Lytechinus pictus: one gene and its partner. The protein of the gene in region 2 interacts with the protein of the main gene of each other region in a pairwise test. Links are inferred from orthologs where the notes say so. Each region holds a gene or a part of one and is shown on either strand. Other genes may lie near its edges. The genes, in order: general vesicular transport factor p115-like; arf-GAP with GTPase, ANK repeat and PH domain-containing protein 1-like.

Region 1 (16,339 bases), on a different chromosome or scaffold from region 2:
ACCATACCATCTGTTTAAAGTATGTAAGCAAAAACTGATCTTTGAACCTACCGTCAGCAGTAGCTGGTAAGAGTGTGGCAATGATCTGTTCCTGACCAATTTCATTCTTATAGAGGAAACACTGAAAGCAATACAAGACTGCACAACGTAGCAAGAAGGGCTGTTTCTCATTGACCATGGACATCAGAAGAACCACGATGGCCGGCCTTGGTGGGTTGGAAGGGGCGTTGACTGCGGCAAAGAAGTCCTGGTTGACACGGCAACCACGGATCACCTCCGAAACTGTGTTGATGGTCTGTAAAGAAGGTTCCAGGAGAAAGTCACTTGGAGACTTTTTTCATTATGCATTTAGTAATTGTTTGGGAATTAAATAAGAAAAAGCTTCGGCAATGCATATCCATATGAGAGATAAATAGAATCCCTGATAATTTAATTGTTTGCATGCACAATATTCTTTCAACTCTAATAACTGTTGAAATTAAGTGCACTGAAGGAAAACAGTTTTGATAACATGAATCTATATATTAAGCATACTATTAAGCGAAATGAATCTGAGGGAAATATTCACCTCTGTAAGAATATCAGCTGGGACTCCACTGGCCATGAGGACATCACAGAGTAACTTTAGAAGACCACATTGATGGATAACCTTCTGACAGGCTCCCGTTGCTTGCTGAGGATTGCTTGGAGCAACAAGAATCCGCACAACCTAAAGGGATATAAGGAATCACACAGAGTATTTGTTGCTTTCTCATAAAATTTGCATTTTCACATCACAGGTGACATTCTCTGCTAAGTGCATTTGACAAAATCAAAATCTATTAATCTTTTCACTAAGATGTTAGGCCTGTTGTCATGAAAAAGTGGAATTATGACTACATATATAGTTTTCCTTCTAAATTTCTGGTAAAAACTGCTAACTTTTAAGCTATATCTCATTAATCAGGTATCTATTAACAATGTGACTACTAAGGCTGAGAAGTCTCTGTATCACCCTTATGGCAATTACAGGATTCAGTAGTAAATGGGTTTAAGACATTACCTGTAACATAAGATGAACATTGTTGACCTTCTGAGCTGACCATGATGAATCTTTCTGAATACTGAAGAAAGGAGTGATCCGCTGGATCAAGCTGAAATGAAAAAAAAATCAAAAATGAATTAAATAACTTTTCGTTTGTAATATAATGTAATTTCTACATATATAACATGACGTAATATTAATCAATTCAGTTGAATCTAAATTTCATATTTACCAAGGTAAATGAATTAAAAATCATTTTTGGAAGTCAAATATATGCCATCTAGAAGACATAAGCACTGCCCTGCCCCCAGTTGAATAAACAAGTACAAGTACACATCTCTTGAAAGCACTTTTCTCAAACAAAGATCGTGGGTTCGAGTCCACCCCGGGCGGATGACTGAAGCCAGTGCGTTGTGTGTAAACGTCTCTCCCATGTTTCATAGATGCAGGCTATGTTACAATGGAAAACACTCCGTCCGTCGGATAGGACGTTAAATGGAGGCCCTGTGTAGAGGAGAGTAACCACCTTTGCACGTTAAGAACCCACTGCACTATTCGTATAAGAGTAGGGGGAAACCCCGGTGTAGTGGTCCACCTGCATTCCCCCCAATCAGTTATATCGGGAGGAGAGACCTGCGGGTCATAGTGATTCAGTTCGCTTTTCGCCTCCCAGGCACAGGTGACGCCAAACAAATAATAATAATAATAAAAGTTTAACAAATCTGGCATTGCTGGCTCTCAGTTATATTTCAGATCCACTTGAATCACACTCTAAAAAACACCCAAGAAAAATTTAAGAAGAGACTCACCCTCCTTCCTTGAAGAAGGACTGGTTAGAACTATTCTTCTTCAAGAGGTTGATAAGCAGCAGGAGACAGTCTTCAACCACGATGCCACCATCGCTGCCACCTTCCTCTGACATGATCTCCAAAAGACGCTCAAAGGCATTCTCAAAGGCCACAATCTTCTGGATGTTGGCATTTCCTTTGGTCAGTTGGATCAGCAGAAGTAGGCCCTGCAGAGATCATAGAGCATGTTCGGATTTAATCATAGTATTAGTAGCTATAAGGCCTATCAATTCTAACTGTGATATACACTAAGACTGCCACCTACTTCTGACATGATTTCCAGGAGATGCTCAAAGGCATTCCCAAAGGCCACAATCTTCTGGATGTTGGCATTCCCTTTGGTTAGTTGGATCAGCAAGAGCAGGCCCTACAGATTTCATATGACATCTTAGGATGTAATCATAGTATTTTTAGCTTAAGGACTATCAATTCTGTGATATGCACCATCGCCACCATCTAGTTCTGACATGGTCTCCAGGAGACGCTCAAAGGCATTCTCAAAGGCCACAATCTTCTGGATGTTGTTGTTTCGTTTGGTTAGTTGGATCAGCAACAGTAGGCCCTACAAGATCTTAGAATTTGATTTAAAGCATAGTATCATTCAGTCATTCGCATATGAAAGGCCCAGTGTTTCAACTTTATCTACTACAAATATATTACTTGGTCAGAAGAATAAAGAATGAAATCGTAAGTTGACAAATAGTGTTTCTACAACAAAATATAATTATTGAAAGAAAAAAAATATATACAAAAAAAAATGTCCTTCATCATCATTTTACATAAGTTTAACATCATACATCATCATCACCATTTATTCCAGTCTGCATTTTCCATGCTATGAAAGATTACTGATTTTTGCACAATGACACTCCCTCGCTCCTCTTCTTTTTAAATTGCAAAGACGAAACTTACTTCTTTCCTTCTCCATCACATCTTATCATGTAATCTTTGGTCTCCATTTTCCTCTTATGCCATCTTTTACAGCATACAACCCACTAATTGTGCAATATCATGTAGACTCCCACAAAACTTAATAACTTCAACAAACAATTGGGAGTACTTACATCATTGCGAATGACCTCTCTGCTGTCTGAGAGTAAGTCCATCATCTTGGACACACCCATAGGACTACCCAGGACATACTGCTGAACCTGACTAGCTTGGTAGGAGAGTAAGGTGGTCAAAAGCTTGATGGCCGGCCATCTTACTCGGAACTCATAGTCCTGTGCAGAGAAAAAGAAACATAGAATAGTTAATAATAATGATAATTGGTATATGTATAGTGCCAGCTACCAAGATCTTCTAATATACTTTGAGGTGCACTATTGCTACTGCCCCAGCTTAAGATTGAGCTGCAATTTCCAGCAGGAACACATTCTGATCGGTCCCCATTCATCTCACCTGGGTTGAGTGCAGCACAATGTAAGTAAAATTACTTGCTGAAGGAAAACATGCCATGCCTCAGATTCAAACCCAGGACCCTCTGTTTGAAAGTAAAGAGTCAGAACCACTAGACCATGACAGCCCCCTTAGGCAATCATATTGACTACTGAATTCTGTGTAATTCCAATCGGCTTTATAGAGGGAACACCTGGTTCCAGCAGGCAATGGGTTAACTGAATGGCCCAAAATACCTTATCTGATTGATGATATAACATGAGAAAATGTTCTTTTATTAAGATGATGAAGATCTGACAAAGCCAGCAGCATCTGCAAGCAATAGCTGACCAAAAGAGATGAATTTCCCTGATTGTGTCATGTTAACAGATTTTTTCTTCTCATATCATTTTTACTCAAATGACTAATATTACAAAGGTTAATCATAATAAAGTAGCCACAAAAATAAAGACGACTAATGCAATTAGAGAAATACCGACTAATATATTTACTTTCATTGAAATTTTCTTAGTTCTGCCAAAATTATACATAATTCAAAGAATGCAAATTCCTGGAAGATGTCAGATATCGAAAGTATTTCAAGGTGAAGTCTCATTTAGTTTTCAGCAATTTCTGACAATCACAGAAACAGGCAACACCATAATGAAACAACTAAGAAATACAAGGGAGAAAAAAAGGAACTGAATGTATGAGAGAACAGTGCACCTACCTCTAGTAACCCAAGTACAAGTGGAATATTATTTGGATTCTTGATGAATATTTCAGCAAACTGGGCACACAGCTTCATCTGCTCAGGATCCATTATGTCACCATTTGGAAATTCTTCATCTGAAATTCAATATGTATCATGCTATGTGACGGATGTAATCTAAAATCAGGGCCCCGTCTTACAAAAAGTTACGATTGATCCGATCGATCGTGACTCTATGGAAATCCATCAGTGTCATAATTTTTTTCTACAGGAAATTTGCAAACTGTCCTTTGTAAACAAAGGAGAACACACCAAATTGTCAAGATATCAATCAATTTATGGATATACAATCATATCTAGATATATTTTTTGAACAAACATACATAATAAATGTTGACATTGCTGGCCGTCCATAGTTACAATTGATCGGATCAATCGCAACTCTTTGTAAGACAGGGCCCCTGATATACATGTACATGTAAAATTTACTATTGCAATATCTATAAACTCTGATCCTGCTCAATTTTTATTTTGGAATTACAAAATTCTCAAGCAGGGAATAGGGCAGAAATGTCAGGAAATATATCCCTATACATCTTTTAACAAAAGAGAATAAATGTTAGTGTTCAAATGGCTTTTACTTTGAAAATAACAATATTCCTGAAAAAAAATTCTTAATTTGTTTAATGTTTATAACATCACACACACAATAAATGGCCAAAATGGAAATATCAGTCCCTATATTTTTAAAGATTTGAATGTTCGAATAACACATTTTATTTACTCATTGATCGATCGATTCAGACATATTTTGACTAAATGACAAGATCAGTATATATATATATATATACAGTTTTTCATCCCAGTCCTGTTAATAATGATAACACTTACCTAAAAAAACATCAAAATCAAATTAATAACAAAGTTGTAGATAAACTTTAAAGACAGAGCATTTAATGAAATCTTACTTTGTTCCTCCTCCTCTGTGTGTGCTGATAGAAGATTGAAGAGCGTATCCAGAGCATAACCAGTGATCTCAGCATCGGTCCGGTCAGTCTCCAAGACATTCACCAATATATCCATGGCTTGGGTACCGACCTCTAGCCGATATTTCTGTCAATGTAAACAGATGAAAAATAATATCATTTCCCTAAATACATAACTATAAACAAAAATGAGACTGTAACAAACAAGAAAAAGTAATACTTATAAGAAATGGTGGATAGAGCAACATACATGTACAGTACATGGAATTCAGAAAGATTGATTTATATTCTCAACAAACTTCCTTTCATTAACATTGGAAAGTATGTTTGTAAAGAAATGTTTTTAAGTTTCACATAAAAGTTGGCAAAAGTATCAGTATTTTAAATATTTCCATTACTTTCCCCAACTTTAGCTGATTCAAATTGATATCACTTCACAAACTAGTGTACAACATTTTGTTGTTTTTCTATTTGTCTCTCATTTTTTTTTACATTATACCTAATCATAATCAGGCTTTATAACTAAAAGCAAGCATCAATATTATGGCTACAAAAATGCTAAATAGGGCACCGTAACAAAAATCTGTGCCACGTATAACTCTTTAAATGGCAATCCTTCTCAGAATATATTATAAGTGGCTGTCCGATATTTAGAACAAACTTACATTTATTATTTGGAGTAAATTTAAGACCATGGTGTCTTACCTTGGAGAGAGCTTTGAGAGCCCTGACTGCATCTCGTCTGTCATCCAGGAGCGTGGAAGACTGCACTCGATCACATATCTTGGCAATCTAGAATTATACAGGAGATATATTCATGCTATTACTTCTTTAGTTAAAGAAGAAATATAGGGACAGTCACATAGATGAGAAATAATCTTGAATTTTTTAATGAGTACTGTTTGGATAGATATAAAGTGGGATGCCCCTGGAAGTCTTGTCTACATTACACAATTCAACATTGTTCATTTTGTGACATTGTAATATTTAACATTCTAAGTGTTTGCTAAACCCTTTTAATGTAATCAAATTTGCATGTGAAATCATGTAAACACATATGAACTAATTTGAACGAGTATTTTTACGCCACCATCTCGGCCTTTGTAATGGAAAGTAACTAAGCAATACACATTGGCCGATTACTACATGTAAGCCAAACTCTGCAATTCAAGTTAGAGTAAAGTCCCCAAATATCGGACAGTTCCAAATATCCAACTAAAATGACTTCAACTCCATCCCCACAACTAAAGGGACCTGCAATGGTAGGGGACTTGTATGTAATACATTAATATACCTGCTATGAATTGCACACAGTAGATCCAGGTTGAAGCTTAAATAAATATTCCAGGGGTTAAATCCAGGGGTAAAATCCATGATTTTGACTTCCAAAGATTCTTATGACCCTCGCTAATTATGGACTCAGAAAGGTTGTAAGGGGGAAGTGATTTTCACTGGAAATATCGCCGCCGAGATTGCACATGTTCAATCTATCGCAAAAAACCTGCAATGGCCGCCGCAGGGGTTCCCCACAACGAGAATTTTGACACCCTTCCAAATATGGCACTCTCCCAAACATCGGACATATCGACCAATTAAATTGGAAATGCGTGCTGTTGACGCGCGCATGCTCGTTTTCAAAACGCAGCTGAGCGAAGACGTCCGATGTTTAGAGCCGAAAGAGGTCCATCGGGTAAGTAAATAATTATTATTTACCTATTTCTAATAGTGCAGTGACAATTAAAATTGGCATTTGCACAGCTGAAATAAGTTATTCTCTCAACAATCAAGCAATTATTTGGGGGTTTAGAGCGTGATTTAAATCGCTGAAATTGATCGCCGTGCACAACTCTATGTGTCCAACATTTGGAAACTGCATCCGATATTTGGCAAAAAACAAGCTTCTGGTAATAAGTAAATAATTTCCGCTCACCATATTTTTTTCAATTCTATTTTTTATGACATTAATATTCCACATTTGTACTACAGAAATACACATGATTTTTATTTGATGCAATAATTGTATTTTTTTTTGGGGGGTCCAATTATGATTAAGTGTCCGATATTGGGCACTTTACTCTAAGACTTAGTTAACTTCATTTTTTTTCACAAACTTTGACAAAAATCCTAGTTAAGCAGCTGCAGTGCAACAAAGACCAAAGTCAAAGAACAAGATTTTAAGAAACATGGACCTTATGAAGGTAAATCCATCATCATGTATTAAATCAAAACAGAAACAAAAACTATAGTTGGGTCTACATCCAAACTAAAAGTGAACAGTTGAAAATAAGGTGTTAAACAATTAGAGTCTAGGCTACATGTATTTGACATTTTAATATTACAGACAGGAATTGTAACGCATGGGACTGGCTCATAATTTCTAAATATCATTCGTGAATATGTGCATGTTTTACGGCCCAAACAAATGGATATAGAGAGCTGAAATTGATTAACTCATTTCAACATACCGTATCTGCCCCTGACTGTTGATTTTCTGGAGTGTTTCCTCCCAAAACCCGACTGAAAAAGCTCATTTTCCTGGAAAATTCAGTTATTTTGCGAGTCAAGAAAGGATTAAGTGTGGAACACGTAGCACAAAACAAGTGCAAATTGTAAACGTAGATGGCGGTATTGCGCTAAAGACAGAGTTAGTTGAGGTGCCGTGGCCGAGTGGTCTAAGGCTATACATGGAAAGTGGTCTAAGGCTATACATGGAAAGTCCGGGGTTCGATCCCCGGCCACGGTACCTATGCCCATGAGCAAGGCATTTAATCTACAATGCTCTTTTATCCTGCTTTCAAATAAATGGAAATGCTATATGCATTATTGGAAACTAGATGTGCACTTGTTTTTTTTTTTTAATTTACTACTCTGGCTAAAGAAATTGGTCTTCACAGTCTAGTCGAGTCGGGGGATCTCTTTAGACCATAGAAATATATCTCTATGCTTTGAACACAAATGGATTGATTGATTGATTGATTGATCGATCGATCGATTGATTAATTGGTTGATTGGTAATATAATCAAGTATAATCTTTATGATGAGCATTCAGCCGAAGTGACCATAATTAAGACAAACTTAATTCCTTTGCCATATACGCAGTGGGAGTTTACTTAGCTGGGATTATATGATCATTTTTGCTTCTTTCAAAACTCATTTTATTGCAAATTTAAAAAGAAAAACCAAAACTGTGCTCCAGATTTATTTACATAAAAAACATGCAACGATCCCTCCAATTCGGCTTAGTCGTTACGCTCTTGTCCTCCTTTTTGTATAGGCCTAAAGGGTCTGAGTGTTTTAAACATTCCGCCTGCCCTCCTCCCCCCTGGAAAATAATACATTCACACTACCATGGAAACAATATATACATGTATGGGCCCTAAGTTTTCTTAGTTCACAAAGCCAATTACAGGGAAATATATACACTGCCGTTAAAACAGAAGTGTGCCCCCCCCCCCCTTGAAAGTGAAGATCTTTTTTTTTGCTTGTCAAATTTTTTTGTGAACGTAATTAATGTGCTAACTTCCCCTTTCGAAAAATCCTGGATCCGCCCCTGTATATATAAAAAAAATATTTTTTCTTTGTATGTTTTATCAAATTAAATCAACATAATTTACCAAATTGAAAATGAATATCGGGAACAGGGCGGCACTTGAAATTGTCTCAAAATTGCTGCACATCAGAACCCCCTGTTATAAAAAATAGTTTCCAGGGCCCTGCAGTCATCCCCCTCCACACACACACACATTCAAAACCGTTCACCGGCCCCTGTACAACAACTTGAAAGGGACAAATTTGTCTTTAACCGAAAAAAAAATACCGTAAATCATTTCCTTCGTCTACATTCAGAAATAATTGTTTGCAACATTTTTCCCCCTTTCTCACAACTTTCTTATGAAACAAATTAAACAATGAATATAAAATTACGATTTAGAAAATCAAACTTAAAATTCTAGGAAAATATAGCAAAATAGACAGTTCTATTGATCTATTCTAATCTAGTTAGGTTAATATATTTGTTCATCCTTTGCTCGTTTAATAATCCAACAAAACTCGACTCCGAAAATGCCACGCCCACCCTAACAAAAAAGTACCGAACACGAGATCTAGGGTAGCAAAATGATTAGTCTGCATTCACATACGTATTTTGTTGATTGTCAGTGACACTTTTTTATTAATTAATTTCATGCAATCAAGAAGGTTATAAGCAGTTAGAATTTAAGTAAGGAATAAGGTTCATTTATGACCTTGTTAATTATAAACTTGCTTTATTATGAGTGATAATAAACAAGTAAGGATAGTGTATCGTGTATCATGATGATGACTAAATTATTCTTCAAACTAAGACTAAATAGCTTGCAGCAGAAAACGAGAAGTTGAGAACTAAATTTCTGCAAGAAAAATAGCTGAAACGGGTAAGTGTGCCATTTATTTTGTATTTATAGATCATTTTATATTACTGAGATGTCAATATTTGATCCACTCTGTTGGAAAATATGTGAAATTAGTTAGTGTTTTGGTATTTGATTTGCAAGATCCAAATTAAACATATTTTTTGAAAACATGATTTTAATCCAGTCCCACATATAGACTTTCATATGGTAATATAAGAAATGCGGGGATCGAACGTGAAGTAGACCTAACTAACGTTAGGCACGCGCCTTTTAAGGCTGACGAATACAATTATGGCTTTGTCCAGTCATAATTTGCAGCAGAACTATGCCAACTGGCATGTCCCATGACGATAGTATGTAGACTCTAAATGTCATTCAGCCTTGCCGTAAATGCTTATTAATGTCGTGTTAAGCCTATTATAAGGCTAAGCCTGGCAAAAATAAGATATATTCTGACATAAAGCGTGGGAAACATAATGATAGATTTGACAGAATCAGATCTAATGTTATTCGCTATGATGGAAGAAGTTAGATATTGTGAAAACACCATTCACTTGACAGTGGCTCACATAAGTCCTGACATTCATTGGTTTCTTATTTCCACTCCCATTTGTAGTACACAAAAGTGTACATTAAATTACACTTAAAGAAAAAATATGTGGATTCCAAATTATCAAATAAATGACAACATGTACTATATGAAGGCATGCCAACAACATCAAATAATATGCGAGGCTTTTTTTTTTGTGGCACTGATATAATCAAAAGCTTCAAAAATATAATGCTTTTGAAATCCAAAGATATACCATTTACTGTTTGAATATTTTGTATTCAAAGGGTAAACAGAAATAGCCATCTTATTATGGGAAATTGAATTGATACTAATATATTCCCAATGAATATGGAGCCAGACATTAGCTCAGCAGAACAACAAATTATACAGAGACTGCAGTCTTTTGTATACAGTTAAAGGGAACTCCATGCTGATAAAAATAATATGATTTCAACAAATATAGGCCTATAGACAAGCCTATAGATTTATGAAAATAAAATATACTTTCAGCCTGGCCAAGTACCCATTTAATGGTAATGAGCTCTTATTTTTTTCAAACAGGAGGGAAGATGGCTATACTCTCGGAAAGATTCTACCAGGTTGGTAATACCTTTGTTGGCCTACAGTCATTCCCTGTTATGATCATATACCTCATCCTCATCGCTCTTTCACCGCTCTACCAAAGAATGACCAAGCCATACTCTCTCAGACAAGTAAGTTCAGTTTGACTGTCCTATATCAAGTTCATGAATGACCTTGTTTTGTTTTTTCCACCTTCCTGCGTCAAAATAGGCTTAATCATTTTTTTTCCCTTTCAGGAATGGAGGAAAACTTTCAAAATCAGTAAAAAAAATCCTGTAAATCCATGCAGATAAATATCAGATCATCTAGTGTGGCACTTGTCGAACTCGAACTTACATTTATACAAATATTTTAAATGTAATCATCATGATCATGTACTCCATTATTTTTTGTTATTAGAAGTTTGGCTTATAAGATGCCTTCACATACTTCCTAGATATTTTTGTCAATTTTATATATTATGAAATTCTTAACTTACATTGTTTCTTTTATTTATGCAGAAACCCATACATGCAAAGTTAGAAATACGGATGTTTTATTTTTTTTGTTTTATAGATCATGGTAGTGTATAACTATACTTGTAGTTTTATCAGTGGCTGTACTCTGTTGGGATTCATCGTTGGAATGGTCAAGTCCGGATCCATCTTCAGGAAAGAAGGAAATGATGTACTAGAATACAGGTAGCATAATGTTTGAAATGATTCAGCAACAAGATTTTAAAATTGCTCCACACTATACACATGTAAAACCTATTCTTATTATCACCTCATGATCTTCATTACAATGTTCATTTTATTATTTAGCCTATTTCTTGACAAAGAATTGCTCTTTTGTTAACAATGAAAAGTGATTTATTTATATCAATTATTCAATTTCCTGATATCAATGATTTAAATCTTGATATATGAAGAAAAAGGATAAAGTGGTAAAATATGGCTTGCCATATGTAGGTCAGCATATGCTGGCTGAAATGTCCTTGCTGAATGTTTTCATTGAGATGAACTTAATGTGAGCTTTGAAGGTTTGCATAGTGGTAAGACTGGATTGAGAGGTTTACGGTAACACCATTTAAGTTAGTCCTGAAAAAGACTGTTCATTTATCTTTCGGTTATAGCTCTTAAAAGAACTGATATTCTCGACATTTCAAGCACAAGAGCTCTTTGCTCTTCTCAGGAGTCACAAAGATAAACCAGCAGTCTTTTTCAGGACTAACTTTAATACATTGTGTTACCGCAAGCCTCTCCATCCAAGATAAACTTAATAATCTGGTAATGATGATCGTTAGATCAAAGCAAGACTTTATTAGGTCTTTTCTAGGAGGTCCATGGTATTAATGGAGAATATTTGCCTTGTAACTTGCAGTTACTTCATGTACTGGTGCACCAAGAACATTGAGCTCCTTGATACGTTGTTCATGATCCTGCGCCACAAGCGTCGTCAGATCTCTTTCCTTCACGTCTACCACCACGCCAGCATGGTCCTCCTCACAGACTTTGCTTACCACTACTCTCCCTGGGCCGGAATTGCTTTCGGCCTCTCCATCAATTCGTTCGTCCACGTCTGTCTCTACTACTACTACGGCTACACAGCCCAGAAGACACTGCCTGGTGCTCCGACCTGGAAGCGCCACATCACCGAGCTTCAGATCACACAGTTCCTGATAGGTTTGATTCATAATACTATAGGCTACCTCCATCATGGTTTCTGTGTGTATTCTATGTTCTACGGTGTTAGTATGCTCTATTTGTTCTCATCTTTCTATTACAATGCCTTTTTACGTAAACGTAAAGGAGAGTAGAGAGATTAATTTGTACCTAAGATAAATAGTTAAACCAATTCCAAATCAACTCAAAGTTATTGGCCCGAATTTACAAAGGTGATTTTGAAAACCCACGGTTTAGTCCATGGTTAATGCACATTTCCTGTATAAATTATGCTTATTTTACCACGTTTATAAAAAAATGTCCAATGCTGATAAGTGCTTTTGTCACAGTGCGCCAAATTGACGCCTGTTGCCATGGTTAAGTACGCTATTTCATTCATGAGTCCACTGTTTGAAGAGTGGACTCATTAATTAAAAATAGTGGAATCATGAATGAAATAGCATGGATAACCCTGGTAACAGGCGTCAATTTGGCGCACTGTGACAAAGCATGCATCAGCATTGGACATTTTTTAATAAACACAGTAAAATAAGCGTAATTTATACAGGAAATCTGCATAAACCATGGACTAAACCGTGGGTTTCAAAACCACCTTTGTGAATTCGAGCCATTGAGTCTGACCATGGAGTAATTAAACCAGAGGGTAATCTGACTTAAAACATGCCCATGGCAGTCTTGGTGTTTAGACTTACTTAGGCATCTAATGTTTGTACATTGCAATCAGTGTTGTCACAAGTACGTTTCCAATGATGGAAATTTCATGGTGTGGTGCGCCCACTGCATGCACATTCTATCTCACTGAATCTGGCAGCATGGGCATAATTTTGAGATCATGACTCGTGGAGTAAATGATTGCTCTTCAATTGGGGTTGATGTTACATTGAGTGCCAGTAAGGATCTTTGAATGGTGAAAGTTTAAAAATACTGAATGCAATATTAACTCAATTCCAACTACACGGTAATTCATCTGTGACCCACTGCCTTCACTAAGTGCATTATTCCTTTGTTTAATTACAGGAATGATAGGCTACAATATGGAACTCAATGGCCCGTATTCTGAAGTCAGGTTTAACTTAGACCATGGTCTAACTCTGTGCTAAAATTTTGGGGAGCCACAAACTAAAAAAATCTGCTTATATTGTATATTTTTTTATTTACTATTTTGTCTCCCTTTGCTTTCATAATGAAGAAAATATTTCAGTTATTATTCTGAGACAGATATGAATAATTTCAGTGCCATTAGAGTTGATACATTAAACATGTACTAAGAGAGGTTTGTGCCCCAATTGGCTCTCCATAGTTAAACCACAACTTTAAACCAGGGTTCAATTTAAACCCGAGTTCAGAATACAGGCCAATGGGTTGAATTACTACAAAAGAGAAGAAGAAGAGAGGGAAATTGGGCAATAAGAAAAAAATACTATGCAAATCTGTCATACAATCAAATTATAATATTTTGTTAACTTTAGAGAACTGTATTGGTGCTGATACTACAGGGTGTAAGCATGGTTCTAGCTTCTAGCTTAAGATAAAAAAATACAAAAGTTTCTGTAATTACAGTTGACTAGCATTTATCTTTCATTTGAAATCTAATGAAAAGAGATATAACAAAGGAAGAACTTTCATTTTCAGGGTGTAAACATAAATATGAAAAACAGGATGCCTTTTTAATCTACCTGTAGGGACCAGATATATAAAACAAATACTCTATGGCGATGTAGGTCATATGAGTCGGCTAATTCTTTTGAGGAACATGATGAACAAAATATTGTTAGGTTTCATGGCACAAAAACAGACTAGATTCACAGGGTAGACTTTAAACAGGGGAAACTCGTACAGGGGTTGTTGATATTTGATCATTATTGTCTGCAATTGAATTATAGCCTTAATATTCTGCAAGATATTTTGGCCCGTTTGCATTAACATAATATTTTTGTTGTATGTAATTGTCACTAAAGCAATTAACTTTACAGAAATCTTGATCTTGATTCAGCAATGTTACAATAGGGCCGTCTGCACCAGCCCGAGATTTCAAATTAGTGCGCTATTTCTGATCCGGCAAATTATCCCGATCTGAACAATCTCAAGATTATTTGTAATAAAGACGCAATTATCGCGCTAGTTCACAGGATTAATCTCGAGACTTAGCCCGCTAATTCGCAGGTGCAGACGCACTCAGGATTATTTATTCACGGCGTCAGACCATAGTGCATCGATGCCTCGCTCGAGCAGGAATCGCTCTTCTTGCGCTGGTGGAGACGGGGTTTCTTGAATCTCGAGATTAATCCTGAAGAGGGCCGATCGGGACCGATCGGGCTAAAATCTAGGGATTGAGCAAACTCGGGCTGGTGCAGCACCGCCTAATGATAGTTGCCGGTAATGGTGAAGTTGCTATTATGTTTACTTGAAAGATTAATGCAACAGAGTTATGACTAAAGAATTGTCACTTTTATTCTCCGGGGGGGGGGGGGGAATCAGTTACTTGATGCAGGGAATTGTTAGGGCTGCATAACAGTTACAATGTGAATGGCACGTAGACTAGTATGTAACAGTTAAGTGCCTTTGTTTTGAATGCATTTCTCTTTGGAATAGTTACATTACTATCTTTACAGTACATTTACTTCACATAACCATGTTTAGGGTCCAAGTTCCAATCTACGCAATAACAAATTTAATTGTAATAAAACTCAAGAGAAAATACTTTTTATGATAAAATAAAGATTTATTTTGTAAGTCAAATTTTTTATGGCGATTTTGCTTAAAGATTGTGGTCTTGTAATAATGATGCAAATTTTATTGTCCATTTATCTACTAAGCTTTTCATTATTTTGTGCTTATCAGAAGGCGATTATCAAGACAGAAAGTTCAGTTTGTTTGCTTTATTTGTTTTTATGAGCTAATTATGATTATTCAATTCAATATCAGGAAACTACGGTCGTCGGTTTTACCTTTACCTACATCGTTGGGTTTATTACAGCCCCACCTCCCACATCTCGCGCAAATCGTACTCTAAACACGTAGTGTTGACTCTTGGGGCAAAAAGTACATCCTTTATAAAACATTTTAGTCTTAACTTTTTATACCCTCGCAAATTTGACCCTAAACAAGTAGCTTTCCTAGCGAAAATAGATACCCTTTTTTCATTATTTTAGTTTTTTTGACACCCTTATTATTTTACGTACGTAACGTGCCCTATCTTGAAAAAGACATCCTTTTTACGTGTTTTTTTGGTCGCGCATGGTATCCACTCGTCAATTTAAGTGGCCCCCCCGGGGCACAAACGATGACTTGAAATCTGCTGAATGGCTTGGTCCATGCATACATGTAGGTGTCGGACAGTCAGTGACTGTTACCATGGAAACTTTTAGATTAAACAAACTTTGTTCAAGGTCAAGTGCAATCACCCCAATCTCACATAAGTACGCTACATACCCCATCAAAACAATGTTTCCTACATGTCACTCCAAAGAAATATATTTGTGGCTGTTGGATTAACAAGCATTGATTGCTGAGCTTGAGTGGATGAGTGAGAAAATTTTAAAGTGCTCATTTCTATTCAATCTTTCAAATTGAAAAAAAAAAACTTTAATTTGTTCCAAAAGAATAGGTTTATGTCTGTTTGATTAATAATCATTATTTTTTTAGTTTTGACTAGGGAATTGAAAATAATGCAGAGTGCTCATTACTATTCATACTTTCAATCTAATAAGAAAAACTTTACCATAAAACTGGAATGATAATATTCAGAATTGTGCAGAAGTGCCTAAATTTGTTATTTTCAAATCATTTGAAAAAAAAATGTCTGATCATAAACAAAAGTTTGAATTACCTTTTGCTTTCAAATGTGCATGTATTTATGATATGATATGTGAATGGCTGACAGTGAATCTATTTTTAATCTACAGTGTGAATTTGTTTATTTCTGTAACTATGTCATATATCATTATGTTCATATGGTGGAATAGAATTTTTATTTTATATATCTTTTAAAAATTGTGTGAATGTATTTCTCGTATTATTTTCACAATATTTTGATATTTGCCAATATTCATTAATCTTTTAAAAGTGTTTTATTGATATTTTCCAAGAAGGCCACAAATTGAATTGAATGGAATTCAATCTGCCATAAAATGTATTGCCTTTATGCATTTATGTATTCTTTTTAGTAGCTGGACACTTATGATGCCTTATACTGATCATG
Region 2 (15,720 bases):
TTCTGTGGCTGCTTTTCACCAAAATTGCAGCTCATTGTAGCAGATCAATGCGGTCGGAACGGGGTTACAAAAAATATGCGAAGCTTTGGAACAGATTTCTTTCTTTTTTTCTAGATGAGAAGAAGATGCTATGCTTTGGAGCGGCTTTAATGTTCTTTTTCTCAATAAGATAAAAATGCTATGCCTTGGAACGGAAATTTGAGTGTAAAAATGGGGGTCCCCTCCGCGGCACATACCCACCACGCATTATATACTGAGTGCCCCCCCCCCCCTTTCCAGGGTTTGATCATGGAGCTCCATGGTTTAATCCAGGAATACCATTCAGTATTCATAACCACAACCATCCTGTATATCATACGAAGCTATTTGGTATGAATCTTCAACCAAATTCATCAGGCATGCCTAAATTCATTAATAATGCATGTATAACTCCAAATGACCAGGTATAGTGCTTGATTTAATTCATTACTCATCTGAAGCATTGGTGTATTGATTACAATACAACTTGATGCTCTTTCATTCCTATCTTTCCAGTGTTATAGCGTATTGTTTTGAAGTCGGGAGATTGTAGAGGTTATGATACTGAGCTGTCATTATCCATAAACCAAAAATCTGTACACAACACTGATGCTGTCCATGTTGAAAGTAGGAGAGATCTTCGAAATTTCTCTTTTTTCTTCAAAAACTGTTTGCTTTTTTTCTAATATCACAGATAAGAAAACAGACACCATTAAACATTGGAAAGGAAATTCTTTTGTTTCAAATTTTCTTTTTAAACTTGATTAAAATGTACATGTACATGATGATGACATTCTCTGCGTTGACATGTAATGGGGAATTCCCTTAATTTCTCGGAAATGCTTGGAACTCCCCTCAAAGTTGTCAGGATCATAGGTCATAATTAGTTTTGCTTTGATTGCAGTTCACAAAGTGTGAACTGCAGAGTCATTAATTTTTTGTTTTGCTTTTATTGGTCATTATTATCATATGATGTCCTTTCATTTCTTATGTACATGTATGTTTTGTAGATGAAAGTGGACTTTCTATTCTGCTATTTTTGGAGTATGATTTAAACATTTCTTAAAACTTTCGTGTGATTTAGGTTTGGTTATTTCCAAACATCATTTTCCAACATGACTCTGATAAAGAAGGTTTATAGAAACTTGTTGAGAACAATGGGCATTTTAAAGGGTAAGAACTTCATCATTTTTTATTGTTTGAGGATGATTTTACTTTGAAAATATGCATATTATGCATGTAGGTATAAATGTAAGGTAATGATTACACAAATTTTGAATTCAGTGCTAGATGAAATGAAAGATTATTCTGGAACACATGTACAAATGTGATGTAAAATCTGATAGGCTTAAGATTAAAGTTAGCTATTTTGGGGGAAATTATTGGAAATAATTTGGGTCTCCAATAATAACAAATTGCCTTTTTTTGTAAAACCTCTTGAGCAAGATTAAAATAGGATTAAAACTCAGGATGCACTGTTTGTATTAAAATTGAATGTCTGTCTGATGAGTGGTAACTAAATAAATCAGTGTCTAAAGAGCATTTATTTCTTCTTTTTTTATTTTTTTATGAAGAGTTTTCAAAATAATCAGAGCCTATAGTTGAAAAAAAAATATACAGTATGTTCAACAGTTTGTCCTTGTAATGGCAATTTCAACTTCACTTCTTGTGGTTTAGAAATTTAAATATAAATCTAAAAAATGAATAAAAATCTACTTTGAAAGTAGATTTTTACTTTCCAAATTCATAAATTTTAAGGAAAATAGTTTAGTGAATGTCTGGACGAACGCTTGAAAAATGATATATGTATTTGATGTATAATGTTTGATTCTTTTTAAAAGTTTCATGAAAATTCTGAATGTCTTAGTAAGAATAAATAATCAAATATCTAAATATTGTATTGTTTTTTGTTGTTTCAGAGGGTTTTACTTTCTTTCCTAATTACGTGCCAGCAATATCTCCTGTGTGTCTTTGATTATTTCGAGTATATTTATTCTCTCTTCAAAATGTAGCTTTTTTCATTTCCCTGATTTTATTAAAATATAACTCTTTTCAACCCTTCCTTTTTGTGAGGAATTGAGACCCAGTCTCCAGTTGAAAACCAAATACATCCACGGCTCCACCAGAATTGAGGAATTTCCCATGGTTTTTAGTTACACCTTTGGACACCCCCCTGAATAGAAAACTTGAAGAAATGAAAACACATTTGCAAGGACTATTTCTGTTTATACTGTGGATTAAAGGCACCATTGTTAGAATTTCCAGTGGTAGCTTGCTTGAAAATTTTCTTCTTTTTGTACTTTTTTCAACAATTCATTACCCTCAAGTCCCAAATGCCTCCCTTTTATATTTTCTTCACTAAAAGACATTGTGTTCTTTAAAACCCATGGTTACAACATTTTTAAGAACATTTTTGTTCAGCTTGGTTTGTTATTTCTTTTAGCCTGTAGCTTGAATTGCAATGGTATAAAGTAGTATTTTAGTAAAGCTTTGAGCTATGCTGTTCTCTTATTTTCATATTTTGATGCAGAACATGTAGTTGTAACCTTACAAAAATTGATTTTATCATTTCAGAGTTAGTGGATACAATTTTTTACTAAAATTTAATGATTACAAACATTATTAGTCATAACAACTAAATAACAGTAAGATATGGAACATGATACAAGTCCTATTTTTATAAGAATGATTACCCTTTCTTGGGGGTGGACAAATTACAAATATTTTTGCAACTGATTTGTTGCTTTATCTGACCCAACTTTAGAGTTGACAAAGTGATGAAAATGAGAATATTTCTAGAAAGATAGCTTAGTCAACACCAAACATTTGAAGCTTGTTTTCTTGATAGTTGTTGTATAATTATTTTATCAATAAAAACTGAATTATATAAAAAAAAAATTGAAGCTATGATTTCTAATGGAATAGAAAGCAACGGGAAGGGCATGAAGAGAATAGCCGGATGAAGGATTTATGGAATGTTTATGAAAAAATATGTTTTATCCTCCAAATTACTTAAGCAGTTGGTATTGTTCACTCTTGTGGAAAATGATTTATTCTGAAGTGAATACTGGGATTTGCTATGTTGATATACTGAGTTCAGCTAAGGTCATGCATGAAATAATGAAAATGAAAATGAAAACGTTTTACCGAACGTACTATTGGTTTTCATGATTTAGTGCATGTAATGTATAGGTCTTATTGATTTGCCTGCAAATATACTAGTCATGGCAGTTGGCATAAACGCTGGGGAAGCAAATCACCGAGCTGTGTATATACTATTATGTGTAGCCAATAACCAAATCTCAGAATTTTGACAACTCTAATTCAAAAGTTGCCAATTTGTTTTTAAATAGAGATTTCATTGTTTTCACAGCATTACCAATTTATGAAGAGTAGCTGAATTTAATGACTTCTCTTCAGCAATGGTAAAACCCATTGCACTGGAAATAATCACAGGTTTTTTTTAATATCTAGATTAGTATAATTCTCCCATTCTAATCATCTTCCATTTTAGGCGGTTTCAGAACGCCTCGAAGTTCGTCAGTTCTAGGTATTTTCTGATCGGGAAATCTACCCCGATCAGAAAATACCAGGTAATATTGGCAATGTGAAAGCAAATTACGCGTAATCTCCCCGAAAGAAAATACCCACTAAATAGTATGTACTTGTAAAAATTACGAGAACTATCGCGGGGATTTTTCCAAGGTCGCAGGTATTTTGGCAATGTGAAAGCAATTTACGGGAACTTTTAGCCGAGCGTGTAGTTGGGCGCTGGCGCCGTGGGTGGCTGCTGAGCTAGTGATTTTGAATCTCGCGCCTTGCCTGCTGATCAGACCATACTGCGCATGCTTGTAACTTCAGGAACTTATCCCGAAGGGTATGTTTCGGGCGGTGTGAATGCAGGAATAATTAATGGGTATTTTTTAGCCTAAAAAAGTTCTCGTAATTTAACGGGGATTCTTATGATCGAGGCGGTTTTAAACCACCTAGTGATTGCAATAGAATTCAGGAAAAAAAATGGAAACTGTAAGAACTAAGTTAATGTGGACGAACTGCACCTCTATGCGCTTTATATAAAATTTCCACAAGCTATTGTATAATTGTAACACAAAAGTTGTTTTTAAAACATAGAAATTGCATATGGTGCACTCTTTTATGATTTTTTAATGATATTCAGTGATGCTTTGGACACAAGGTCAATGAAGAAAAAAAATGTTTTTCTTAATGAAATTCTCTGTCAGCCATAATTCAATGAAAGTTTTTACCATCCAATTTTTTCCTTTAAATTGATGTCAGTGATGAAAATATCCAAATAAATGAAACGAGACTCTTTATATCAAACATAAAGCACAAAACACATCATGTTTACCTTTTCTTCTCAATTGCACTGGTTTTGCTCGAAAAATTATTTGATCAGCGTTATGATTCACTGAATTGGCGACAGCTGTATTTTCCTCGAATAGGAATTGACAATGAAGAGAATGAAGAGACATTGACTTTGACATTTCTCCTGCATTGCCAATTTAAGTATTTTAGTGATAATTTTTCTTCAGACATTTTTCAACATTGGACGAAAAAATACTCATTCAATAACATTGGCAAATATCCAGCAAGTGAAAAGATGTTACTCTTTATTTTGTAGCACAATTGGTATGGCTCTGCTTCAAAAGTCATCATTAGGCCAAACCATAAAATTATAATTTGATTGAACAACTGTAAGTATTATACTTGATCATGAAATAGCAAGAAACGATAAGTCACTCCCACTTAGTAAATCAATCACATTAAACATACCCAGTGTATGTGCCCATACATCAGAGAAATGTCTGCCACACATGACTCTGATTATCTACTCTTTTGGCATTAGGTTCATATTCAAAGTAAATCCACAAATGCCTTATTTGTTAAAGCTTATTAGAAAATATGTTGGTTTGGGGCTTTCTTTTTCTCTCTTTCTTCCCTTTTATCTTTTTATTTCTTTTACAGCTTTGTTAGCTCCATTTTCATGTCCATGACAGTTTTTTATAAACCATGACCCTCAGATTTCTTTTTTTTTGGGGGGTGTACTTCATTTAGTTTATAATCATGATGTTAAATCAGAATTCTTGTAAATGTCAATTCATGTCATGCTAAATATACAAGGAAAGAAAAAACAATATTCATAATTTGTGAAGTCGTCATGATTAATTTCTTTTATTCATCGCTGTTGGATTTTTTATGATAAAGTTTCATTTGTATATGCAAGTGAGCTGTACATACCTTGATGCATACTCTATTTCTTTTATTGCTTTGATTCATAAATCCTTTCTTGATTGTATGTCCGACTCTGCCTACATTTTCTTCACAAACTTCTCAAGGTGTGATCGTTTAACAGCTTTACAACTTTTCAGATGAGTTAAATGAGAAAACATAGATAAATCATTTTATGAATGTGCTAATCGATGTATATTCAGGGATTTCTTGGAATTGCAAGATGAAATTAAGAAAGGGAAAGTAGAAACTCATACCAGATATCAAGAGCCTTTAGAAAGTGTCTATCGAACCCAATAATGTTTGGATTGCTTCCTAACAAGACGCTGATAGGTCATTATCAGACTCTACACTACAATTAATTTCCTGTTTTGTTAAGGGGTCAACACAATCATGATGGAAGTACTTGATAATTTGTTATTCTAACAGGCTGGAAATGTGTTTGTGATTCAATGAAATATGTCTGGCAGACTTAAGAGGCTTTGGTTGCCTCATTTCATTTAAATCGAAAATGATGAGTGGTTCAGACATTTTTAATAATAAAAAGAAAAGGGAGCATGTTATTTTTCTTTCCTATATATTTAATTTGTTCATCTAAACAACAAGATATGTGTTCAAGATCATCTAGTATTTTTGAGTTGTGATTTTGTGGAATATCTTTCAATGCACAGTAATGATAATGATAGCTGGATTTATAACATTTTTTTCCAAGGGATACAAATTGCAACTCTCCCAGATTGAGTGCAGCACAACGATGATAATAAATTTAGTGTTGCCTTTGAATTGCAATCTCGTGATTAAACCAATGTTATATTCTTCTCATTCAATCTCAAGGGAAAGTCATCTAAAAGATTGTTTCGGCTGCTGTTGCATAAAATTTATACTATTAAGACAACTTTACCATTTAGTGGTAACTACATGTACCACCATGGTAACAATGCTTTACAGCCTGTCAGAAACAGAGATTTCATGGGAGGTGCCATTGTAGATGGCCAAGTTAACATCCATGCAATGTGGGCCCTGATCAGGATAATTTGCCTAATCAGAAACAGAGAGATAATTTTCGTTAAACACAGGTTGGTTGTGATAGGCCTATAGTATGATTAAAGTGTTGTTGTAAGGCCTGGGGCCCGTCTTACAAAGAGTTGCGATTGATCCGATCAATTGCAACTATGGAAAGCCAGCAAAGTCAACATTTCAAGTTCAAAATTTGTTCTAGATATGAATGTATATCCATAAATTCATTGATTTCTTGACAATTTGGTGTGTTCTCATAATTTGTTTACAAAGGACATTTCACAAATTTCCAGTAGAAAAAATTATGGCACTGATGGATTTCCATAGAGTTACGATTGATTGGATTGATCGTAACTCTTTGTAAGACGGGGCCCTGATATATGAACTGTCATGTGTAGTCTTCCTTGCAAAACATTCAAATTTCTCCATTTTACAAAGTGTTTTCATATCTTCTTTTGATGAGTACACACGTATCTGCTCAATTGTTACTTACACCATTTCCTGTTCATTTTTGCATCTTTATAGAAATTCTTTTTCATCTTTTCACTTTTTTTTCATTGCTGACAGATTCATTTGTGAACAGCCAAGAATGGACACTGAGCAGAACAGTCCCAGAACTGAAATTGGTAAGTAATTTATTTATTCTTGATATTTGTGTAAACTAAAGTTCTTTAATCTGTTCAACTTTAAATGGGTAAAAAAACAACTTATAAATGAATAATAATGGTAATAACTTAAGTCTTATATAGCGCTTTTCATGAAATCCATATCAAAGCGCTTTACAATGTAGAACATAAGAAATATACAAACAAAAGTGAATTAGAAATAAAAGAACAAAAAAAAGTGCAAGATATGTATTTATTATTTAAATACTGACACCCCCACACTCACAAAAAAGCCCACTAGATCAATGTTACCACCACCTTTCATTGCCTACATCATTTTATGATGAAAATGACAGGCATTTATGCCATTTATCTAGAAATTAAGTATTCCAAGGCATTTACTGTTATTACCCTGGCATTAACCAGAACTGTCATTGGTTTGAGTATTTTGCATAAGATTTTTTTCTGCTTTTAAACTGGCATTGAAAAATATTTCCTACATATATCCTATGATAAATCGACTACCTAAAATCTTGTGCATCTTGATGTATTATTTGTTGTCCAAACCCCAGATGTCCTTGTTTATCGATTTCTTCTAGCCTGCGTCAGGGTTTTAATCTCATTGGCATTTAGCCTGATTCCCCACCTCTTACGTCAATGCAGCTAATAAAGAAGAGCCTTCACGGAGAATTCTTTGATAATGAAATCTACAAATTTGTAGGTATAAGATAATTGAGTATTTCTCTACATGGATAGATGGCTATAGACATGTTTAGCTGATTGATATATGTCTCATTCTGTCTTTAGCATCCTCTTTTAGGAGAATCTATGTACTAAAACAATTGTACATTGTTGTCAATTCAATCACTCGTACAAAAATATTCTGCTATGGTTGCTAATCTTTGTGTTAAGTGCCCCAGGAGCAGAGAGGTAGTAGTCTGCTATGCAGACTCTGAATGGCTCGTGACGTGGGATCTCAGCGCGCTTCGCGCAATCCAGCCTGCAAGGGCGAGCAAAGCGAGCCATTTCTGCAGCCACAGTAGACCTAGTCTGCTATGCAGACTTCTTAAATCAGCTGTGATACACACACTGCAGATGTGGAACTACATTGTAGACTAGAGAAGTAGAGCCAGTCAAGTGAAATTTTAGCTTAAGTTTGAAAGGAAGTGGAGAAGTTAGTAGTCGCCATAATCATTTTCAAACATTACTTCAAAGATAAATGCATTAGAAGGAGACATGCTTCTCTCTTTGAACTATAACTGCCAGTACTAATATTTTATTTGTTAGATATTTTGAAGAATGTGCATCCGAGGCATTGTATCAAGGCCAGTCATAAACTTGAGAAGAGTATTTGATATCATGGCTCATGGCATTATCCATAAGAATTACTGGTACCGGTTCATTATTTATATTGACAGTATAAATGCTTTTTATAAAGATGTAGATAACTTAATTTGAAGATTTTAGATTCAATGATAAGCATTATGATATGCGCTAGTATTATTCTCATATCTCAGAGTTGGTGAATTACGATAATAAACACAAGATCTTACGACAATATTTTCTTTTCCTGTGTCGGTGCTCCCAGATGAAATCTCATATTCCTTTTCAAGTTCATTTTGACATGTCTGTGTTGTGACAAGCGTCCAATGCTAGAGGGTATTGGTACTCATGCTCGGAAGAAGATAAAGTGGTGCGGTGTAGGACTCGATCCATGCTTAAACATTCTAAGCTAGTATGAGTGGTACTGGGTGTTAATAACAAATCCTATAGATGTCTTCATTTCGGCATAAAGTTGAAGTCATATATCGATTTATTTTACCTATATTTTTCCTTTATGATTTTGATGATAAATAATATTCAGTTTTTGTATATCACAATAGTTATATTCTCTAAGACTATGCACTTCCAAAGGCACCTTGATATACAAATAATACAATGAGATTCTTAATTAAGGTACATAATGTAAATGTATCCTGAAAGTATGAATTGTACTCCTTCATGTTATTGTGTCAGAGAAAAATAACTGCAATCGGGCTTCATAACAAAATGGATTCTAACAATAACAAGGATTAGAGCAACATTTCAACCGAGAAATAGAGTCATGATCAGTTTTTGTTACACAGTGAGCAAGATGTCTTCTACTGCTCACCATTTTTCAGTTGTTTTTAGCCTCTTTTCTCTGAAGAGAATAGACTGCCCTTTTTGTAGAAAAAATGTGTTTATTTTATTGCTCTTATTCCAGCATTTTGTTACCCTTTTGAAAACAACCTAAAGATTGTGAAGTTTGTCTTTTCCCATAGGAATCTGTATAAAAACGGTGAACTTTGTTGTTTCTGTATTAAATGGTACAGTTGTGTCTTATGTGTTGGAATTATGCTGACCATAGCCCAGTGTTACTGGATGGGTCTACTCTAAAATTTGGTAGGAGCATGTGGGTCATAGTCAGAGAAAGACTCTCTATCTATCCACAATATGACATTATTAAAGATTTTAAGCAATCTGTGAATGTTCCCAGTCTTAGTTCTATAACAATTCTTTATTAAGTTTTGAATAAAACCTTTCGCAGGTTAAACATGTTCTAATTGTGTATTCCATGGTCATATCAAACCATGGTCATATCCATGTTTTGACATAATACACATAATGGTTGTGTTGACCAAAGGCAGCCATTTTGTGAGATATTTTGTGCATCTAGGTGGACGAGACGACCCTCTCCCATAGATTTTTGTATGTGTTGTGTCCCCCATCCCCCCCCCCTTTTTCCCCAGAATTGCCATTGATGTTGTTGACATTATTAATATATTGTTACCTTTTAACAGGGTGTTGTGGGAAGCTTAACAAGCGGGAAATCAGCTTTGGTACATCGTTACCTGACGGGATCATACATGCAAGAGGAATCTCCAGAAGGTAAGCCCAAATCATACCACAGTCACACCTACGAAACGGACTCCGAACCGACCGATCGTATATGTATGTCATAGCATGATAGCCTTGGTCAGGCTGGAGTCTGTTTGCTAATGTGACTGTCCTGTCCTCGACTGTAGCGTCATGTTCTTAGCCTAAGTTGCTTATTTCTTTCAAAGATAGCAGCATGCATCATGGTATTGCAAGAATTAAAGATAAATTCCAGTTGTGGGAACGATCTCAAAATGACTTTTTCCAGAATTTGATATAAAGATCACCAAAGTGTCTGTTTGTATGAATAAAAAATATGTGCCAAAGGATTCCGGAAGAAATTGTGTAATTGCTGAGAAATAAGCAAAATAAGCGCGGATTCGGTCACTTCCGTCGGGTCTTTATTCCAGCAATAATAATACGCTGTCCCACGTGTGCCTATCTGTGTTGGCGATCTTCAGTGTGATCGTTTTTTAGCTAGATATTATGATTTCACAAAGTTCAGTTTATGTAACTGTACCAGATCTAGATCCACGATGATATATCAATACTTTACCTTGGTTTTACAGACTTTCTCACGAAATCAGTGTTTTACTGCAACTACGTTCAATCAGCTTTAATGCTGGTACAGGGACTGCACTACAGGGGGAGGGGGCACCCACCCCTCTGTGATTTTTCAAGAAGCACCTCCCTCCCCCCAAAAAGAGGGAAAAGAAGAAAAAGGAAGAAGAAAGAAAGAATTTGCTTGAGAACAAATGACATTACCTCTAGAATGTCTTGTCCTGTCCCTTTGCTTGTATGTGTATGTAAATAAATTCATCATAAAGTTTGCAGCAGTATACGTGGTAATAAGTTTAATAATTATAACAGTATATTAATCGAGGTTAGCCGGTTCCGTTCTGAAAACCTGTCTCCCAGCGGACCCTGCTTTTATTGTGAATTGCATAATGAATTGCATCATAAGTTTTATAACAGGTTTACCACCTCAAACTTTGTGATACGATTTAACTGCTTTTACTAACAGGTGATTTTCAAATATTAAAACAGGCAAAATAAATCCACAAAATGTGAAGAATATGTATTATTTATTCATTTTGTATTTTTTAGGAGGGAGATTCAAGAAGGAGATCGTTGTGGATGACAGGAGTTACCTGCTCCTCATCAGAGATGAAGGAGGCCCTCCTGAGCTCCAGTTCTGCTCCTGGGTGGATGCCGTCATCTTGGTCTTCAGTGTGGAGGACGAGATGAGTTTTAACATGCTGTATAACTTCTATGCCAAGATAGCCCACTACCGCAACACGGCAGACCTTCCCATGATTCTAGTGGGTACCCAAGGTGAGTTAGTCTCAAGGATCTGGGTTCATGTGTGAACTAACCCTTTGCTTACTGGAGCCGGGTGATACCTGTACAAAGCCTATTAGAATCACAGCATCCAGTAGTCGATAGGTTAACCCTTTGCCTACTGGAACCTGGTGATCCCTGTACAAAGCCTATGGGAATCACATAATACAGTAGTCAACAGGTTAACCATTGCTTACTGGAACCGGGTGATATCTGTACTAAGCCTATGGTAATCACAGAATTTAGTGTCCAACAGGTTGGTGGATGCCAGCCATAAAGGCCCAAATTCACAAAGGTGGTTCTGAAGTCATGGTCTGAACTCGGGTTTATATAGTTTTCATGTCTTGATTACCCTTAATTTAGTGCTTAGGCCTATATTGAGAAAACATCCATTAATGAATGATTTCATTACAGTGCCATAAAATGATATTTGCTGCTGAGGTTACAGCATTCATGAGTCCACTGTTTTTATTTTGATTGATTTGCATAAAACAATAGAGTCATGAATGTTGTAATACGCATCAATTGTGATATTGTTATTCCTCAATATATGTGCTGAAATAAGCACAATTAGTGAAAAAATGAATAAACTATGGTTTCAAACCACAGATTCAAAACCATCTTTGTGAATTCGGGCAAAAAAGTTTGATAATATAAAAACAACCTCAACTACAAGTTGAAAAGCAATAAATGTCATATTTCTTCATCACGGTGAACTGTGTGCTTGACTCAAGCAAACAGATGTTGGGATACCAGTGCATTTGTCAATACCCTATGATATATTTTTTTGGTATACCTATCAGTGTTTCTAGCTATGATATTTCCAGCTTTTGTGGCTTGTTTATTCATCTTTCTTCTCTTTCATAACCATCTCTTAAAGTTAAAGTTCGTCCATTCTTTCCCCTTCAATTTGTGACTCATTCAAGGCCAAGGCATACAAGAATAGCGCAGTATTCTGAAGTGTGTGACTCAGCTTAACAGTGCAACCTTGAGTTCGAAAATTAAAAGGCACTGCATTTTTGTGAGCTCATTAGTGGGTCGATGTGAAAACACGATCAATACAATTACTTTGACTGGGTAAATTTGGGCTTTATTTGAAAAGGAAGATTTTGAAGAATGAACAGAAAGAGTGAAGGTTAACCTTCAAGGGTTTTTAAAAATTGATTTGCCACTTGCCACCTTATTGTTACCGTAGAAAGAGGTCGAAGGAGTGGTAGGCATTTGTTTCACTTCACAAGAGGAACACCTTGAAAGCAATGGTTTGGCTTTTTTTTACCGGCAGTGATGTCAGGTGGTGCCTAGTTGCCTACCTAAGTCATGAGATTTTGCTTGGGTCTAACAAATTTTGCTCAAGAAAATTAATTAATTTGGGGTGAAATTGAGACTGTAACAAATTTGTCATGAACAGTTCATATTATAGGTTTAAAAGTTTGAACATGAATGAAATGCAGTTTGTGACAATTTTTTTTTTTATTTGTGAGGAAGGAGATGATGTTGATCTTGATGAACACTATCTACATGACAGTATGATGATAAACTTTCGGTATGAACATATCAAACTCTTTATCATCATCATGTGCTGCTTATACATGTAGGTATGCCTCATTAGCTGTAAGCCACAATTACATTGTCACCCAGCTGCATAGATCCTGCAGTGTGGTTTGTGATTCCTCCTTTCTCTCTCCCTTTCTCTTTCTCTCTCTCTCTTTCTCTCTCTCTCTCTCTCATTCTTTATTTCTTTCACTCCCCATCCCCTTATGCTCTTGATTTTTTTTAAAATGTATAATTTTGCATTGTGAATTGTTCAGTATTCACATGAAGTGTAATAAAGATTTTTAAAGTTATCTAGTGCCCTCTCTTGGCATTGTTTTTATATTTATTTTAAAATGTAATTTGAGCACCAAATTTACCAATTTACCAACTGTATGTCAGAAAGCTACTGACAATGATTAAAATAGTAAAATTTTCAGTCAGTTAAATGCTTAGGGACAGGCCATTAAATGCTTGGGTAGATCTATTAAAAAGAAAAGATATGCAGATACTTTTTATTTTGATAAGGCATCCAGTCAAGATAAATTGCAAATTTTGTACAATAAAGCTAATTTTTAATTTCATATGCTCCACATTATAACTCTTTCAGGGCATAAGCTAGTATTAATTAGAATAATGAATGCTCTTTTGGAGAATTTACTAAAACTTAAAAAATTCTTCAACAACAAAATCATATAAGTGATTCATTTGATTAAAATAAATTCAACTTTATCTCCATAAGAAATAGAATTATTCTTTATGGTATGTACTTTACAAAGCTAAAAAAATTTGTATTTTTCTTAAACCCTTGGAACACAAAGGCTAGAAAACCGGCCGTGGAGTGAACTCACAAATACCTGAAAGGCCCGTGACTTGAAGAACATGGGTTCTAATATGATCTTTTAAAAATGTCATCTGGGGATATTCAGTCAATAACTTTAGTTGATAATTTTGTCAAGAAATGGCTTTGATTTGGAAGGTTTTTAGCGTTAAAAAAATTATAACTCTACTAAGGAGGCTCATGCGATAATACACAGTGAATCATCCACTGACTATTGCACTCTTGCAAATCATACTTCAGTCAAAGCAGAGATTTTAAAGATAAAACAGGCACAAAAGATTAGATATTGTCTTATATAAGAAGCCACACAACATCAGCCGGGCCGGGCTTGGGTACCAGCATCGGCAGATGTAGTCTAGTTCTAGACGATATTAAACGAATTTATTTGCACCGATATATACGTTCTATTCCGTGCGTACGCCCAGCCGAGTGTGCGCGCAAAACCGAGAACCTGTACTCCGAGGAAATATTTCCTCGGAGTACAGGTTCTCGGTTTTGCGCGCACACTCGGCTGGGCGTACGCACGGAATAGAACGTATATATCGGTGCAAATAAATTCGTTTAATATCGTCTAGAACTAGACTACGGCAGATGCCGCTTGGGCTCGAATAATGGAAATATTTGAAATGTATTATTTCTTCATTTTTCCATTGTGCTTGATATGCGCAAATAATTCAGGGTAAGGGTCACGAGACTCACGACTGGCCCAAATAATTCAGGATTGAAAGGGTTAAACCGTTTAGGATATTTTGTGTAGGAATTGGCTACTTGTGGTTTTCAAGCAGCACTGTAATTAGTCATTGTCTAAAAAGCCTCTGTTAAGCTTTGGGTTTAAACAAGAGTTCATAAACCAAAAATATATCCAACAAACAGTGTTTCGATGCTAGGTACCTAGAGGGGATTTTGAGTATGTTGAACATTCGGCTTGATATAAGAAGAAGGAGCTCAGTGTCCATCAGATATAAACAAGGTAATTTGATTGCAAAATTATTGTATAACTTATATTTTCCAATTTTTCTGCCTGTCTTATTTTATTTTCGCAATTATTTATAAACTGATGAAAACATCACTGTTAAACTTTGCTCAAATTGGAGTGACATGCTCTTGTCAGACTATGAGGTGTAATTCGAGACAAAGGAGAAATCTGGCTATGAAGAAGGCATAAATGTTGACTGTGCAGCCGAGAATCCAAGTTTACTGAGGAAGTTGTAATTTAATGTTTGCAGTTTCGATGATTGTCAAATATTTGTAATAAAATACACATTTAAAATGTGAAGCTATGTCATGAATTAAATGAGACTGTTGCATGTTTTTGTGAGGCAGTTTCCAACTTTTCAAACGTAAAGCAATCTATTCTTTGAAGAATCCTCTCACAAATATTTAATCCATATGAGAGACTGAGAGTCTGATCTTGGACCGACATCCCTCATCAATAATCTCCATCTCATGAATTCATTGACCAACCAGACTTCTTTTCAGTCACAATATACATCAATTTGGTTTTGAAAGTACTCAAGGAGAGGCGCAGACAATCAGCTTTTCTGCTACAAACCTCTCCATTTACAGATCCTCCAGCGTGTCATCCATTTGGAGCTAAAAAGGCGCTTACTTGGTACAAATGTATATCAAATAATGCCTTTCTGTCCTCGAGATTGGTGAAGATGGTGTCGTTCAATATAGGTCCTAATTTGATTTAATGTTTTCACCAACTGTAAATGTCAGAGGTTAGCTCTTATTTGTTCAGACAGTTTCTCCGTTGGCTTGGAGAGGATGTTCAATAAAATGGTATATGACCTAGTTTTAAGGGAGAGTAGATAAAACCAAGGAGCTTTATTTGTTTGTTGTCCCGTCCAAAGAAAGCTTCTGACTAGCTAAAGGCTCCTCCGTTCATTTCTCAAAGGAGCTGTATTTTGAAAAGATGTTATACAGATGGGGGGGGGGGGGTATTTGACATGAAGACTTGTTTGGGTATTATGAAAAACCTTTGCTCAAACTCATCACATTTATTTTTTAACATTGATTCCTTTTAAATTTGTTGTACAAAATATCTAGCAATCGGCTGTGTCACAAAGGAACAATGAAAGTTTCACCATGCACAAACATATTTTGTGTTGCCTAAAAACCCATTGGTGGATTATTTGTTCTTGGGTTTTTATTGTTTTTGGATGATTTTAATTGAATCTTTTGCATAAATGTATTTTAAGATTACCAAAAATAAAG

The links.
Region 1: the proteins of arf-GAP with GTPase, ANK repeat and PH domain-containing protein 1-like (region 2) and general vesicular transport factor p115-like interact in a two-hybrid assay, tested with the Caenorhabditis elegans proteins (2 studies listed by BioGRID). The link is inferred for Lytechinus pictus from reciprocal best matches to the Caenorhabditis elegans genes cnt-2 and uso-1.

What each region holds. Positions count from the first base shown.
Region 1 is NC_087262.1:22,087,600-22,103,938, forward strand, and holds the start of general vesicular transport factor p115-like, read right to left. Parts: upstream 7,571-16,339; 5' UTR 7,479-7,570; coding exon 7,413-7,478; intron 5,740-7,412; coding exon 5,653-5,739; intron 5,075-5,652; coding exon 4,930-5,074; intron 4,099-4,929; coding exon 3,980-4,098; intron 3,096-3,979; coding exon 2,937-3,095; intron 2,040-2,936; coding exon 1,834-2,039; intron 1,134-1,833; coding exon 1,043-1,133; intron 710-1,042; coding exon 569-709; intron 296-568; coding exon 52-295; intron 1-51. Other genes in the region: very long chain fatty acid elongase 5-like, read left to right, coding at 10,462-10,605, 11,030-11,154, 11,837-12,272.
Region 2 is NC_087247.1:13,567,575-13,583,294, reverse strand, and holds the start of arf-GAP with GTPase, ANK repeat and PH domain-containing protein 1-like, read left to right. Parts: upstream 1-6,855; 5' UTR 6,856-6,911; intron 6,912-9,712; 5' UTR 9,713-9,778; coding exon 9,779-9,800; intron 9,801-10,895; coding exon 10,896-11,123; intron 11,124-15,720.